2 linked regions of the Neodiprion lecontei genome follow. The protein of the gene in region 1 purifies or fractionates together with the protein of each later gene. This does not show direct contact. Links are inferred from orthologs where the notes say so. Each region holds a gene or a part of one and is shown on either strand. Other genes may lie near its edges.

The links.
Region 2: the proteins of serine/threonine-protein phosphatase 5 (region 1) and co-chaperone protein daf-41 purify together in Homo sapiens (affinity purification with mass spectrometry; 5 studies listed by BioGRID and IntAct, with this or other methods). This does not show direct contact. The link is inferred for Neodiprion lecontei from reciprocal best matches to the Homo sapiens genes PPP5C and PTGES3.

What each region holds. Positions count from the first base shown.
Region 1 is NC_060264.1:9,721,944-9,730,339, forward strand, and holds the start of serine/threonine-protein phosphatase 5, read right to left. Parts: upstream 5,250-8,396; 5' UTR 5,105-5,249; coding exon 5,008-5,104; intron 3,722-5,007; coding exon 3,332-3,721; intron 2,808-3,331; coding exon 2,521-2,807; intron 2,375-2,520; coding exon 2,269-2,374; intron 1,672-2,268; coding exon 1,529-1,671; intron 1,017-1,528; coding exon 709-1,016; intron 455-708; coding exon 373-454; intron 257-372; coding exon 197-256; 3' UTR 1-196. UniProt on the Homo sapiens protein: Serine/threonine-protein phosphatase that dephosphorylates a myriad of proteins involved in different signaling pathways including the kinases CSNK1E, ASK1/MAP3K5, PRKDC and RAF1, the nuclear receptors NR3C1, PPARG, ESR1 and ESR2, SMAD proteins and TAU/MAPT.
Region 2 is NC_060263.1:36,971,743-36,981,576, forward strand, and holds co-chaperone protein daf-41, read left to right. Parts: upstream 1-5,686; 5' UTR 5,687-5,767; coding exon 5,768-5,895; intron 5,896-6,624; coding exon 6,625-7,015; intron 7,016-8,892; coding exon 8,893-9,021; 3' UTR 9,022-9,235; downstream 9,236-9,834. UniProt on the Homo sapiens protein: Cytosolic prostaglandin synthase that catalyzes the oxidoreduction of prostaglandin endoperoxide H2 (PGH2) to prostaglandin E2 (PGE2).

The sequences.
Region 1 (8,396 bases):
ATGCGATGACATCCGCAAGGATGATACAATAAATTGTCTTGTCTTCTTTGACTAAAATCTAGTAATTATAGGTGTTGGACAGTGATTACGTTATATCACTCCCGAATTGGTATCAAATATAATACACACTTTGTTTGGCTAGTTGTATTCAATTATCAATTATTTAATTCTCATTATTATTCCTAAGTCCACCCCACTAGCACATGAATTTTAGTAAAGAATTAGCATACGCCATTGGCCTCACGTTCGGATGGGGCTGCAACGATAATAAAAATAAATTATTTGAAAAATGATCCAAGTAAATATTTACTGCTGTGCGCTATTTTTATCGTTCAGTAATCACGATATTACATAATGAGTAAATCATCTCACCACTGCTTCGTATGATGTGAAATTGGGTTCCATATCTTTACCGTTGAGCGTGATAAAGGCACCTCGGTTACCCATGGTATCACTAAACAAATAAATTATAAATGATACCAGTGTTCTAATTTAAGTAAAATATATTTATTACTCCGAAAGAACGAAATTTCAGGTAGCTCAACAAGTTTTTTAACTGCGATATAGCGTCATAAGCAATCAAACATTATTTTTCGTTTTCAACGCGAAAATATTTGACAACTCGAAACTTGTTCGAAAATAGAATACTTTGCATGGAAATTTTGTAGGGTACAGCTCTCAAAAACCTTGAGTGTAGATAAAACTTACCAGTAATTGGGAGCTGAGAAAACCGTGATACATTTGCCATCATGTGCAACTTCATAGCCCTCATTTTTCACTTCATGACTTCTAACGATATAATCAAGTCCGTTCAGACTGAGGAAATTGTGTGTGACGTCGGGTCCAAATTGAACCCCAACCCCTCTTTTACTAGGGGCTCGGCCCGGCTGAGGCTGTGGATCTGACCATAACAATTCACACATCAGTCCTTCTTCCGGTGGCTGCCGGTTTCTATCTATTTCTCGAATTTCGGACAACGTCACATCGTCCCTTGAAAATAGTCCTCCATGCATCACCTGGCCAGAAAATAATTTAATTTTATCAAAATTCTGTACAAAATTTGATATCATGGGAATTATACCCGAAAACTATTTACATTTATCTGTCATGATGTTATTATGAAACTTCATTCTACGAATAAAATTCACAATAATATTCTACACATAAATTTGATCGTTTAGGGTTACTTAATGTCGAAATACACGTATAATCAATTCATAAATGAAGGACAATCCCAAACACTTAGGGCTAAAAATGAATGTCCAGAATATAAATAAAATGGAAAAATTAAACAGTCGTTTACATTTACGGATACAGAGGCATTCAGAGCAAAGAATAAGAGTAAGGCAGTAATTAGATATAACCACATATCTCTGAAGAGGTAAGTTCACAGATAAATGTTGATTGTAGAAGTTATTAACTTAACAAAATTGATATTGCAATATGCTTATACTGGTACTTATGGTAAATTGGTTATACTGGTAAATATTACTGGTACATATTTTAAATATCACATGCACATACTTACAAGCACTTTACTATTGAGGCAGTGCGCAAGAGGCAGCCAATTATAAACCTCTGTGAAAAGTTCCGCCATTTGTGCTGTGTATTTTGCCTTGACCTCGCCATCAAAGCCATACATTTGATTCATAGTTGCAGATTCATGGTTTCCTGGCCAACGAATTGATGCGATAATTAATAAAACGTAGAACACAGCATTGGATTAGCATTTGTGATTAAGTGCATTCAATGATAGCTCACTAAATATGATCAAAACACTTAAGACAGCTTTGTATCATTAGATATTGCAAATTTTTACCAATAATTGACCAGACCAGTTTACGCATTGTTTTACTATTGAGACTAACGACGATAGATATTATCTATAGACGCTCTAATTATTATAAATACTCATTTCAAGCTAGCTATTCTGTGTCTTGTGGTTTTTTTCAACAGAATACTGGCACACTATTTTTTTACTCTACTGTAGCTCTGCACAAAATTGACAATGAGAAATGTACCGGTCATCCAAAGAATGTAAACTCTAAACCGAAAATCTCATCATTTCTCTCCCGCAATACCGATAAGCATATGGAAGAAAGATGAATGAAAAATTGCTATGAAATAACTTGAAATAATATCAGTTTTATAATTACAATTGTAAAAGTATGACTGTTTTTATAGTAAGTAAAATATCCTTCATTTTAAATAGACTCATTGCTAGTACTAGGTAATTCACAATACTTATAATGATGAACCAAAACTCACCCCTTGACATGAAAAAGTGATTGGGATATAGAAGCTTGAAGCCGAACAACGTGAATATACACTCTACAGAAAAGGATCCTCTGTCCACAAAGTCTCCGTTAAATAACTATTCAATATTGAGGAAAATTACTGCTCATTGTAACGCATAGTTGTGAAAGTAGACATTATTTGATGATGAAGTGCACTTTGAGCGATTGAGAATGTCTTAATATTATGTTCACAGTGGTTTAATCTGATCAACAAAAAGGATACATAAGGATTGGTTTCCGAGGGTAGACCATTCAGCTTGAATACGTTGAGTAGATCATAATACTGGCCATGTATATCGCCGCAAATGGTAAACTTGCTCTTGTCAGGTATAGAAATATCTACTAAGCTTGGCTGCGCCATAAACCATGCTTTGATATCGAGAAGTATCTTGTAGGCATACTTGCGATGAAGTTTATTTTGCTTCTTATACCAAGATAGTAAATCCGTCATAAACTCCAAGGTTACTTTGTCATTTTCTAGTTTTGGTCCGGTGTATTCGTCTTCAATTGCTAAGTAGAATGATCATCAATATTGAAGTTAATAAAATTTAAACAAGACTCAGTGTGTTTCTCAACGATATTTTTACAAGATCTTGTTGTTCTGGAAAATCTGTAGTTAACTTGCGGATTCTGTTTATCAACCCTTGAATAAGGTATATATTTATTTTTGGGGTATATAGTGCGTACCTGAGACCGTCTTTTGATTGGTAATACTCATTTACTGGGAATTGGAAATTATTAGATTGGTATATTTTTGTACACTGTATTAGCTAATTTGAGATTTTAGAAAAATATTCGCAGGCAGTTTAGAAATCATTTTTGAACTTTCACATGAATTCGGTGATAATTGGAAGCTAACAGCACACTTGAAAAACACCATCAGTATTTTAAAAAAAATTGGGTTTACACAGGTTCCGAATTTGACAGCCTTCAGCTTATACTTGAGATAAAAATTAGACCAATAAAAAATCGTAGCTCTAATTGATTCATTTTAGTAAAATTCAGTGTTTGTATTTGTGATATTTTAGACTTACCCATGTCATCAAGATTAATCGTGTCAGCTATATTCTTCTTATTCTCTTCAACAGAGATGGCTTTTTCGAAAGCTAGTTTTTTCACCATTTTATTGCATTCAGTGAATTTTGTTTTAGCATCCTTGTCATTGGGCCTGGCCTTTGTCACTGTTTCATAGTCCTTAAGAGCCAGCTTAAATTTACCAAGCGACATGTAAGCTGCTGCTCTTCTGTAATAGCCTTTTACATAGTTTCGGTCTAATTCAATTGCCTTTGAGGCATCCGTCAGGGCATATCCGAAACATTCGGTTTTCAGGTAGGCAAAACTTCTGTTTCCATAATATACAGCGACAGTGGGGTCCACTTCTATCGCTTTTGTGTACAATTCTATAGCTCGATTATAATCTTGTTCTGTAAAAGAAATAGATGCATTAATTTAAAAAATTGTTTACTAACAAAAAATTTCGCGTGTTACTTTGATTATTTGAAACATCGCCAATCAGTAGCCGTAAAATATTAATTTTCTGAAATACTTCTCGAGTAATTAATTAGTCTGGTGTTGAATCGAAATGAAGTTCAAATTGGTTTTTAAGAATGTGATAGAAAAAAGTCTTGTTAGAATCATGTTTCAATTATCTGTAAAGGTACTATAAGAATGTTGTGGTTTATTCCAAAAGGATAGTTGTATAATATTTTGGAAGCTTATTTTGTTTATCTACCAACTTTTCACATTTGTTTTTTAGAGGAAAAATATTTTGAACACTAAGACTATTGTGGCTCGACCTTATTAACATTAACTAATATATAACGGAAGGTATAACAAATGTTTCGTCACATATTTGATATGTACGTTTCCACAAACTGTCATGACATTTTTCTAACTATTGGTATAAGTTTTTTTGTTTCACACTTTCACTAGAATCAGTGAAATTTCTTTTAAATATGATTCTGTCACATAGTATACACAACCCCAATCATAAAAGGTAGCTTTATTGCACATTAAGATTGTTGTTTGACTGATATCATAGCCTTTGTGATAAAACATAACGATTCTTCTTACATTTAAATTTGTGAATTTTATCATGTTATTTAATTTGTGTGAAACTTTCTTTACATGCAATCATATGGGAAGGGTTGAATTTTTAACCCTCGAAATTTGGAAGTCATTCAATTGAGAATCGTTATTTCTCGGACCAATAGACGTAGAAGTGAAATTACTTATTGTTCAAAGAAATCAATGATTGAGATATAAGATTATAATTAAGGTAACGTGAACCGTTCATCCTGAATTTGGGGAAAGGTGAACATATACTAATGGAATACAGGGCTCATTTTTCTTATGTAGAGTAGGGAAGAGATTTTTGTCATTCAGTCGCATCTGAAAAGTCATGAAGGAAGACAAGTGAGGAACCACATCGATGACATAAACCTTAAATATTCTTAAACCTAGTTGCAGTTATAAAACTAATATTACAGGTTAGAAATTACTAGTAGGATTATTTGAAAGGAATAGGGAACCGATGAAATGCGAATTTTAGAATCGCAAACACTAAGTTTGGTTAGTTTGATTGCACGTGACCGATCTTGAAAAATTGGTAAGGATTTAACGAATTTCATCGGAATCGGTCTGGAGCGATTGATAACGATATTTATCAGTATACATTGGTAAATATATGAAAATCGTGAATGCAACATACTTTTGAAGTACTCGTTTGCCTCTTCTTTGAACTTTTCGGCTGTCTTGATATCGTCGGAAGAAGATATTGCTCCAGTTATTTCAGCGTTCTCACTCATTTTGTAATGATGTACTTTTATACGATTGAACAGATAATGGAGAAACTATACTTAAATTATCTTAGAAGACAGGTAATAAATAAGGCATTAAAAAGAAAGGGCTGGCTTTCTTTTACAAATGCATGTATGATACCTAAAGGCGGATCTGCAGCAAAATGTTCATTCCCGTGTTCATGAATACCCAGAAAATAAACCAATCATCGTCAACATCGTAACGCATGGACAAGTCATCGTTTGAAATACAGAAATTCATGATTGGTTCACGCCTGATTCGCGTTCCGTGTGCCTAACTGTCCTACACACCAGTACACACTGCATTATCGTAACGCTAGACACGAATGTGCTAGCGAGATATCTATTTCAGTCCCTAGATTAGACCCTGGAATCAGCCATGTCCGCCATCTTGGTAGGAGGTGTTTGCGCGCCACATACAAACCATATAAGAATTACATCAACGGCATAAGCATAGCAATTAAGTTGATCTAATTTTGATTTATTGTTTGCTTCACGCATTTGAGATAAGTAACATATTTTTATATTAATAGATACAAGAAACACTTGAAATTTGTACAGCATCAAATAGGAATATTTATGCAATTTCTATATATTTATTGTAAGTAATGCTTGGGTTATTTCTTAACATAAAATACATATTTGGGGTGAGTAAAGTATGAACTGTAAACTGTGGCTGTATAATACGGCATTTTGTTCACGATCCTTAATACAAATACTATATCAGTGAAAATTGAAGAATTTTTAATTCGAAAATCACTTTTAATTTAAAGTATATTATATAGACAGTTATTCACATCGAGAGTCAGAAATACGTGAAAATTACATTTCGCGAAATGAGTCGAGCTGTATGAACATAGTTATAGCGTGAATCGCGCAAACACTTTCTACCGATATTGTTGATTTAATGTTAGTATATACGTTGACTGAGGATAAGTCAACGGTATAAATCGGTGTCTTATCTACTCCGAGGGAGTAAAGGGTATCCTCTCTGTATACTTTTTAGTCCGTGGCTGATAGTATCTTTTTCTCTGTCTTACTGCGTTGCGCATGCGCGCGGGTAACTTGGTATAATACCAACAAAAAGTTTGTTCGTCAACGCGGTCGCATTCACCAGAGGACAGTGAGAGACAAGTAATTGGTACAACATTAAGAAATCAACAATGGCGCATGCGTTTTGTATTCGTGGATGCAATAACTAACATATGGCATCGAGATAGCGGTGTCACGTATAACCTGTAAGTATGAATTATTCTTTTGACAGAACATGTCAACTTTTTGGATTGGACTGTACGGAAAAAAAACCGTTGCCAATCTCTCTCAGCATGTGTCTGAGCTCAGTGGTCTTATATAACACATTCACCAATTAAATGCTATCATACTCTTGTAACTCATTCAGAACGCGTAGGAAAGTGTAGTAGCGAGATCAGTGGTAGCTGCAATATAATGTAATAAAAGCGGTCTTTCATTGACTGTCGGCATACTCTGTCGGTACTCAGCCAAAGTGCATCAGAAATTTAAAATGTCGAAGTGTAAAACTGTTTTGTCGGTTCTCGGTAATATCTATGACAAAATGGTCTATTAAAATACCGCTTATTATTACATTGTGATTTGACATGCAACTGAACAATACGAGTATGAATATTTTAGTATAGAAGCTTACCGGTGCGTGTCGTTTGACAATTTGCATCGTGTTTGAATTTTTTTTTTTCACGCTGTATCGTATTTCGTGAGATTCATCTTCTCAATTTAATTTTTCTGCCCTCTTTAGCACCTATTTACTCTCGGCATTTAGTCCAATAAACATCCTGTTAAGATCTTTGGCTACTCTTTCTGTCAAGGTTACGAAATATATCTATATCAAAGTGCCTAAATTAATTCCGGGCAACATGTTCTACTTGAATTTTGGAAAAGAGTTTCATTAAAGTTTGCGGTGTGCGCAAATCTTGTCACTACAATACATTACGTGGCATTAGAACTGCAATTTTTGCAAAATTTCGGATCATTTGAAATGCCGATAAACTGTCTTCTCGGAGAGTAAAAATTAGATGGAATCAGTAAATATATTATGCAAAAATTGGTTTCATTTGGAAGTGTGAAATACATCGGAATCTACCCTATAGTATACCTACATAATAGTGTTAAGATACACCCGTTCAAATGTCATTTTCGCAAACTTGAAAGTTTTTTCTTTCTCACAAACTCTACTTACCAATTTTGAAACAATTAATTACGAAGTAAAGTGATTACCATATTCACTACTTTAAGCTTGCGTATTTTTTTCAAAGAGCATAATGTTCCATACGATAAATTTTTCTGTGGAGACAAAAATGAGTTCTTACACACAAGAATATAGGTCAAATAATAATCATAAGTCTTAAATAATAGATATAAGATGTATGAAAATTTTGTTAGGATAGGAAATTATAAGATGTACATACTTCTTACGAAATATTGTGTACTGAAATATAAAATGGGTATTTCTCGTGTCTGAAGGGATTCAATTTTCAATGCCATATCGGCAATTAGGATTTATGAAGCGTAGTTAAAAGACTATAAGTAAATATGTACTCGGAGTAAATCACGTAATCGACATTTCTTAAGGCTTATCTCATGTCCCAGAGTATTATTAGCGACCATCTTTTTATGAACCAATCCGTGCTGTTACAAGCATGACCTACAGGTATACAAGATGCGTAGGTATAACATACCGTGTCACATATAGTGAGATATGCATATTCAAGATAATTAGCAGGCTCTGAATGTGCTGCTCTTACATTAACACAGATCACACAAACGGAGATATACAGAAGTTGAAGCTGGCAGTTTTCCCTCTTCTGTGATTATGTAGTAACGTGTTATACTCGGTCTTCCTTGAAAATTGTTGGTATATCGTGACCCTCAATACTGCGAATTAGGTGTATTTGCTTCAGGCAATCAGCAGCCAAATGTTCGAGTTTCAAAATGTTTTCCCCATACTGGAGAGCAGCGTGGTAGCTGCCGTTCTACATAGTCATAAATATAAATGTTTCCCTCATATAATCACGAGGTTGCGCATCAATATCGTATAATATAAGTACGTTTACTATACCAGGTCGAAGTCGTGTATAAGGAAAGTTTATGCGAACTGAAGTGGACGATAATTCACCTTTCCGTACTTGACAGTGACACACGTCTGCCGATCGATTGTGATATACCTATATACCTACCTATAAGTATAGTCTAGCTGCTAAATGATATAAATCAGGGAAATTCCATTTATTTCATTTCTCTTTTATTC
Region 2 (9,834 bases), on another chromosome or scaffold:
CTTTATTAAAATAGCGGTATCGGACGAGCGACGTACACAAGGACAGACCGGAAATAACCAGGGAACCGGAACCGGGATCTTTCACAATGAATTCCCCCTCCTCCGCAACGACGTGCTTAACCCACGTACGTATCGTGCCGCAATGGAGATGCGTTATGCGTGTACGCGACGTATGGATGGACGTACGTAACTGCAACATGGTTAAAATTATAGACGCCGCCTTGTCTGCAAGTTCGTCTCGCCATTTTGCGTTGTACGCGATTATTGAAATACAGTCGAAGGCTTTTACGACTTTGTGCAAGTTGTTTTTGTTTTTTTTTCTTTTGAAGGATAAATTACGTCGCCATTATTATAACAGATGTGAAAAATCAGATTGCCATTATTTAGGTAGATATTTATATATATATATATATAAGCGCTTGGTCTTCGCTGCAAGGTCACTATTCGACTGACTCGAATTGTCAGGGTCTCTGATCTCTTCGAAAAAGAAGCCTGCATGTCGTATCATGGACGAAGGAAATCAGAACAAGGATCAACTTGGCTGGATGGTATAATTTATACACGTCTGTGTAACTGTGATCATGATTCACTATATAGTGATCAATAAGCCCAAACAGTTAACTCACACCGAACCCCGCAGAATTTTTCACCGTTTAATTTCGCGACGAAATTATACCTAGGTGATATATTCCGCAGACTCCTGACGTGTGTAAACAGTCTAAAAATTACCTGTACCCACGTGTTATTTACCTGGTAAAATATTTTTCTCGACATTTTAATCAAGAATAATAATATATGCAGTATTATGTTATTATACGATTGAAGCAACGGTTCGCAATGGAAAATTTTGACACGGTTTTCGTAAGTTGAATAAAAAATAGAGGTATTTTTATTACGATGTGAACAACTGACTGACGAATAGGTACAGTAATGTTCATTAATGCCTTGAGCTTAAGGCTAACTTGTTTGCGGTCCGAAACAAAATGCGAGTCTCGATTCTATACGAATTTTATGACAGTGACCGGCTGTGCAGTTGATATGAGAGATTGGGAGGCATTGTCACATAATTCGTATAGAATCGAAACTCGCATTTTGTTTCGGACCGCAAACAAGTTAGCCGTAATCTCAAGGCAATAATGAACATTACTGTACAACTATTTGGCTCATGAATTACATGAATTTTTTGCCAGTTTATTGCAAGAACTAAAAACATATGAAACCGCTGTCTGATCGTCTCGATGAAAGCTGATGGTATTTTTTTTGCGTTGGTAAAGCAATAAGGGGAGAATAATTTTTTTTTTAAATTTGGTATAAATTACCGTGCAGGCTTACAAATGCCTATTTATTCGTCTTTCCTACCGCTCGACAGTTGGATGTTACGTAGTTTAGAGGAATCGAAATAACCTCCGGATCATTCGAAGACGAAATGTGCGCGAGGGCGGGCGATAAGCTATCTTTACTATTGTGGGCATTCACGCCTATACACCGCACTTAATCGCTAGATGAAGTTTCGTAAACAGTTCTATCGCGTTGCTCAATTGGTAATAACCCGCTCACAATCATAGGAAGTTTACGATACTCTTGAACGGAAAGTATAGTCTTGTACACTATTTCGGAAATATTTACTTCAACTAATCACGAAGTCAGACATGCGTTTCGATTATTGTTTCAACATAACGGAACTGAAAGAATCAAAACCCTGTCCTCTGCTTAAACGAAATAAAAAATTAACGGAAGCCAATCAAAGAAATATTCGGTATTGTCATTTTAATTGGGAATTAAACTCGGAATGGCAAATCGTAAAGTTAAGCCGCTTTAACGATTCTTTCCAAACGGTTTTAATTAGCTGGGATGTTCCCGGAACATCTCTCTGCAGCACTATCTCTGTATTAAATTGTGTAATTTTAATGATAAACAGGAAAAAAATCTTCGCCACTGTGCGAACTGTGATATTTCAGTAACGAGTCGATTTAATGCAATAATATTATAAATCTGTGCTGAATCTGCGACGGCGACAATTTTGTAGGCCACAATCAACGCGGAATCTATAAAAATGAAAGAGAATCGTAACCTTAAAGATGGAACGGTTTTTATCGAATTTCAAAACACGCTAAAAGTTAATATATCGCGTTGATTACTGTACGCGTATTCGCTTACAACATATGTATAAGTCGGAGTTCGAAAGAGAAATGATATTTAGGTTTACGTAATTATTGTATGCCTATCTGTAAGTATGCATATATATATATATATATATATATATATATATATATATATTATATGTACAAGAAAGAGATACATCCGTATGTACACATTACACATATACATATGTATAATAACTGAATAAATTTTACAGACTGTTATAATGTCACACACGTGTGTGCTCGTCGTGCGGAGGAAGACGTGCCAATTTGTGTACGTATAATATATGTAAACACATTAATATGCGTATCCCTCTTGTTTTACTCCTCTCCTCATATTATATGCAGCCGTTTGCGTGGGAGGCCGTGGTCCAGTATAATAAAACAAGATGCAAACCTCTGACATAAGACTTTCACCCCTGAGGGCCCTTCGATTATCAGGCTTGTATTAGACCACGATCACGCGTTACGTTCGTAATTCTTCTAATCTATTATCCGATCCCTGTATAATTATGTAACGAAAATAAAAGACAAGGAAGTGGAAGCCGGTTGAACTTTGCGTTTGTGAAGCAGGCTATAAGGCTAAGAGCTGCGGTCTTAGTACTGTTAAAATAGACTCGTGGGAATGGACTTGCAGGCGTAGACGCACCTCGATCGTCGAAGGAAATGCAAACACTGCACTTCATTACACTTATAGATCCAATAAGAAAGAGGAAATCGTCATGGCGTGCGAGTGCGCCGATTCACACCGTACGTACGAAATTCGAAGTTAATAAATATTATACGCTTTGTGTGAACATCGCTCCGAAGTATAATATATACATATATATATATATATACATATACACAATGTGTATGAGGTATAATAAAACGAACCTGTTTCTGTAGGTTAGCTGCACTTTTTTTCCTTCGTTTGGCAAATTTTTTTTTAAGAAACATATATAACAGATATATTTATCCCTGAAGCTCTTTTCTTTTTTTCTTCACTCGACTAAAGTGTGTGCAATTTTTATACATTTATTATTATCACCGTACGAAAGTTCGATTTATAATTATTTATAAATTTTAACCAACATTGCAACAGTCGAACAGGAATGTCCAGTTTTTCATTCGACTTGTACTGCACGTAGTCATATTTAGGCAACAGATTATAGCTGATAATTTCACGATAGCATCATTTCTCCTTCTCAGTTTAACGGCACCACGTGACATCATGATGTGTAGAAAAAAAAAGGGAAAAAATAAACAACAACAGATACGAAACCTGCGAGCTCGCGATGCATCGAATACGGTGCGTGTGTAACGGATTGATCAACATTTAGTGCCGATTAAGAAAATTTATTTTTATTTCTACACGCGGTATCAATCTGTTCGTGTATCTAATTATATACATACATCTACTTTCTGTTTCTGTATCGAAAGAATTAAACATAAAGCAATAAATGCATCACGAAGTGTATTTCGTATTTCATTTCATTTCATTCAATTCAGTATTATCATTTTTTGTATTTTTATTAAATTGTCCAGTGTGGGCAGTTGATTGCTGCGTAATTAGCAATTAATGCCTGCGCAGGACAGGTGATTCACATGAAGTCACGCCTGCATACTGATATAAAAGAATAGCTGAATATAGGTACGCATGTATGTAACGCGATGTGCATACGTTGCAATACGCATAGGTGATTACGTATTAAACCTTCTGGATCTGCAATAGCGTTAAATAAATATACTCACCGCATATTTGTCCTTGTAGAAGAGCGAACTTGTAGACATGGTGTTAATTTTAATTAAACAAACAAGCACTGATCTGGGCTACCTCAAACAAACAGCAAGTCAATACTCAGATTTGATACGGTCGTCATGATTGCTTTATTTAACATACATGCAATACGATACTGACTACATAGTTTAACACACTGCAGTCCACTGGCCACTGACGGATTGTACACATTGAACCGAACCGAGTTTTATATTTATAAAGAAAAAGCAAAACGAAAAAGTACTTCGCTGATCGGAGATAATGATGAGCGCACAGTGTCTGTCCATGCCATGGATGTACGTATGTGGCAAGGCATCAAAGCAGACGCTCGCCGTGTCGCAACTATAATTATTTAACTAATTTATTATGTATCTCAAGTATATAGTAGTGGACACTCGGCGGTCTATTCGTCACCTGGATTCAACTCGAAGGAGAAAGAGACTGGAAAACCTACTGTGTATGTCCAGTTAGATCGTCGCTACCAGAAGGGTACAGCCCCTCCATATCCATTGCAAGTGACCTACAATCTAAGTGCTGTTCCTCCCTACCACCTTCTCATCTCTTACCGATCTTAAGGAAGATTGGAGAGTTTGGTCAATACGGATTCCTCGATACGAACGGGTGGATTCGGCTTCTACGATCGTTTCGACACAAAACGTTGATAAAAAACTATCATCCAAATGATAATTATCACTCAAACGGAAACGCTGTAAGAGGGATAGATTTTTCGAAATATATGCGTTTCGCGAATATTTATACTTATCGCGGAAGCGCAAATTTCAGAATTTCATATATTTGTGTCCTCGATTTTTGATATTAATTTATTTATGTTGCAGCTATACTCCACGCGCGTAAATCTTCTACTCACTACCTGTGCAATAGATCGAGAAAGTTGATCACTTTTTTTTTCTCTCTCTCTTTCTCCTTCTTTTCATTTTATTTTAGTCGTACGTTCAACTTTGCTGCTTAAAAATTGTTATTGTAAAAACTTTGACGGAAGAATAGAGCATGGCGTATGGCAAGCGTTACTAAAGAATCGGTAGATTAATTGTTTTTAGAATTGTTGGGATTGTGTGATATTACACTTTTGACTAAAAGTTAGTTGAAAAGATGCAAACATTATTGTGCTGTGAATTTGAAATTTTACCGCATCGATGCAAATATGTATGGCACGCAATTGCTTTCGTTTACTCTTAGGTAAACCGAGATCGCCGAGAGATCATACTCGTATATTGATGCAGGTAGTCATCTATTATTGAAACTGACAATATGTATCATTACAAACGCTGGGTAATTCGAAAATGATTCAGTTATATTATAATTGATGTCTTTCTGACTCAGTCACGATGAAACGATTCATCCGATTTTCTTTACATAACGATTCTGTGAGTATATGACGATGAGAACTATTTAGCATAATCTATTAAATAATATCCAATGTGGTAACCTGTGCTTACCTATAAACCGCAATAGCAGTCAACATCCATCTTTATCGAAATGCCGGTTTTCGCATCAAGATACTATTACGACCACGTTCAATATGCGTTGCATCATTTTTCCACTTTGAATTCCCCGGGCTGAGCGTATCCTTCGATTATCTCGAAATCGATTTCGATTCGGATGAAAATCGATCTTCTCTCGTATCGAGACATCGAACCACGAATACATTGATGATCGTACGGCGATAAAAATATATTTTTAACCTGTCCACTTTTTGCTCGCCGCTAACAATTGCGAAGCGAGGGATACTTTTAGAGTTATTCCATCAACGGGATTCTTTGTTCTGCGGTGTGACAGGCATTATTATACGTTTTAAGTTTCGAGATTTGCCCAATAATAATGGCCGACGCTCTATTGTCCTGTCGATATGAATACACCTCGAAGATTGAATATCGAAAACATTTCTCGAGTTAGTTGTGCGGCGCGGTACGTAAGTCTTGCACGTTTGTTTCTTTTCGCTGGAAAAAGCAGCTACAAAATGACTCAAGAGGGACAGTAAGTAGCTAATAATTGACTTAAGCCTAGTTCAAAATGTAGAGTTGGATTTTGTGTCGAAACCTGGCTCACCGTCCGGTACATTATTCGTGCTAAATTGATTGTAAAAATACGCCTGCCGCCCTGCAGGCTTTCGAAACGCCGCCATGTTGTGAAATGGTTTTATTGATTCTCGAAATTTCTAGAAAACTAGTTCTAACCGACAATATTTACCTCGGGAGGGCTCCCTTATTAAATTATCGAATAAACTATTATCTATTCCTGTAATCGACGTCATGCCAACCGAATAAAACACCCTCTCGACCTCTCGAGACGCTTCGAATTCCCAAGCGGCTTGATGCGGCTCATGCTCGTAATCGTGTAACACGAGAGTACGAAAATGTTTTCTCTACTGATAAATCTGGCTTCTTATCAGCAGCCCCTCGTTATTCGATTGCTCGCTCTCAGTGTCTACCCTGGATAATTTACGGCGCCATAAAAAAAAATACTGCCCTTTGTCGATACATCAATCGCCATTCGCACTTCCGGCGTATTATGACTTGCCATTATTTTCCTTCCCCATGACCACGTTTTGAATACCACGAGTTCAATAAACCAGTCACATTTTTTCGTAATTCGAATATCTAGCTCATTCATATCGCGGCTCGAAACGTCATGTTCATAACCAAGAATTTTTTTTTACGTTTTACTTGATATTTACGAATTCTTGCTGTCCTTGTTTATTCTCAGGGTGACACCTCCGCCGGTGATGTGGGCGCAAAGAAGTAACGTAGTGTACGTTACTATATGTCTGGAGGACTGTAAAGATCCCACAATCAAAGTTGAGCCCGATAAAATATATTTCTATGGTATTGGCGGCACTGAACGTAAGGCGCACGAGGTAACAATCAATTTGTACAAAGAAATCGACCCAGAAAAGACAATCCAAACTCCAAAGGGCAGGAATTTCGAATTGGTCCTTACAAAAAAGACTCTTGGACCATACTGGCCGCACCTGACGAAAGACAAACAAAAGTATCACTGGCTGAAAAGTGACTTCAACAAATGGCAAGATGAAGACGATAGCGAAGATGAAGCATCCTTCGGCGGTGGTGGTGGCGGAAACCGTGACTTGGAAGAGGTAACATTGATTGATCTGCTTAATTAATTCATTTTCATGAAAAGAGTCGTAATGTTTAGTCTTTTCACATGAAAATTGATAAACTGTACACGAGGGTGGTTTGTGGAAAACAATTGTGTATTTTTCCATCCTTCAAATATGTCGTTTCAACTGTATTTTAAAAATTTCACAACCCACTAGATTCCATAAATCTCTTTCTAAATTATCCCATGATACAACAAAATAAAATAGAATGTTTTTCAAATTTATAAGTGTGCATTAACTGAGCATAGAGTATAAGTTTGTCGATTCTCTTTGTGAATGATATTGATGGCGGAGTATAATCTTTGGCATTGTGATGACCAGTCAGGCGTCAAACAACAAATTTCATCCAAGAAAGCAGCTTTAAACTAAGATTCTCTCAGAAGTAAATAGTACTTTATGTGGCATGCCCGTAAAGTTGGTGTTTTTACGGCAAGGATAATGAACGAGTAAATTTCATTACAAGGTAAAAGCTAGCCAAAAGCGAGTAATGAAATCATTATACGAGCCAAAAGTACTTTACGGGTGCACCCCGCACAATGTTTTTTGCTGGCAAAACATGATAAGTCCCTTTGCCGTCTGTTGAAATCTACACCTCGGATCGTGCAACAGAAGTCGGAACTGCTGTATAAAGTCTATATGCCAGTTCTGAGATGCACACTTAGAACTGGGGATCGAAACTGCCGTATAAAGTCTTTGTATTCTATTCTGAGGTTAGCGGTACAAAGTGACACTTTACAGATCGAAAACAGGCGTCAAAAAGTGACTTTTTCATGCCTGTGTTAAAAAAACGAGTATATATGTGATATTCTTTATCTACAATTGTCGGTAGCTATTTAAATAGAAGAAACTTTGATTTATAGCTTCATATTCTTAAAATAATCGGTATCTCGTTTAAACAATTTAATTAAATGTATTTTGAGATTTCACGTGAACTTAACGCTATTGTATGTAACAAAGAAATGTTTCAAGCTTCAGGATTTTTAACTCAATAAGAGTTCAATATATCTTTTTTGTTTCATTTACATACGCTTAATGTTGAGCATACTGCATTGCCGAATGACAAAAAGCATAATATAATCCGTCGAACTTACCATAAAAAATAATGTAATAGTATATTGCGATACGAGTGCGTGAAGTTGGCGATACCTGACGAGCGTGAAGTTTGTTGCTCGAGCCGAAGGCGAGTGCAGCAATGAAACCCGTATTTATGACACATGATAATTTTTGCAACACCTGTAATGGGAAGTTCGACTTGAGACAATCGTAAACGTGGTCTAATGTTAATGTAGATGTGTTACTGCAACACAGCCGACGAAACTGTAGTCACGAGTCGATTGCGTCAAATGGCACTAGTTGTACTAGTTTAGCTCAGAAAACTGTTAGAAAAATACGAGTTCCTAACAGTTGTGTGATATTTCCCAACAGTTTCTGAACTGTGAGGAATGGGGTACTTCGCACATCCGCCACAGTGCACAAAGTCAAACTTCCCATGCAGGTGTTACAAAAACATCTTTTCATTCGCGTTTGGATACAGTTATAGTATTTCGTTATTAAATCTTATTGGCAAAGTACCCACTGTAAAGTTACACCTTAAAACTTATTTCATATTTTTTACCTTTAAAAGGCCTACCCGGCTCTTTTAGGAGTCAGCAGATAACTCGGAACCTCCACCTGATGTGTTGACTATTTATATACATAAATCATACCTCTAAATAATATTGAATTTCAAGGACAAAATGCCAGCCCTCTAAAAGTTAAAAATTATTTTTGCCAGAGTTGAAGTTTTGCAAAGTTTCTCATTGAGCGCTCTAATACAGAAAGTTCATATTTTTTTTTGCTTCTTCATTTTACAGATGATGCGCCAAATGGGAGGTTTGGGTGGTTCTGGAGACCGCAAGCCAAGTTTTGACGATTTAGATGACATGGGAGATGACGCCGATGGTCCAGACAGTGATGACGATGATATGCCAGATTTGGAATGAAATTGTTTGAAAAAAATCAACTTACCCTCTCGGAAAGAATTGTGAGCTAAAACAGGTGTTCTTTACAGGCGGAAACTTTCGCATGGCCGTCTTGTTTAGGAAAAAAAAAAAAATTCCATTGCGAATGCTTTTTGCAATTTTAGAATCAATGGCCAACAACGTAATACCTAACTTTTAGCTAAGCGCGGTGCGCGAAAGACCGAAAACTTGAAAAGAAGAAAAAATATATAATAACATCTTATAAAAAAAAAATAATGTTGCTGGTAAACGACGAGCAGCCGTACAGTTTTCGACCTCCCCCACCACTACCCATCCCTTAGTCTTTAGCTCGTAAACTAAGTTATAATGCAAAAGCTTTTTTTTTAACAATGAATGAATTAAATGTGTAAAATATTAAGAAGGATATAAAGAAAACCAATAAATGGAAAAAAAAACAGTCTGTTTATTTGATAAAAACTGTCGAGGCTAGATCTCCACATGTGTGAAATGCCTGCTCACACTACGTTAAGAAAAAGAAAACTGGTACATGAACGATTTATTTGATTATTCACATAAGTGAATAACAAGGAAGTTGTTTTCTTGTATATGTAAAAAATAGTTTACACCAAAGCAGGTTATGAAGTACTTACGTAACCATTTCATCGATATTAAAAACTTCCAACAACATTGCGTACAATAGAAGATAAATTGCTGTACCAACGACCACTGCCTAAAATTCAATGTATAAAATTTGTAACAAAATATTCAATATAGAACTGTAATAAATTCATTTACAGAGATGAGTTTCATGGCAGGTGTCATAACTGATTTCAG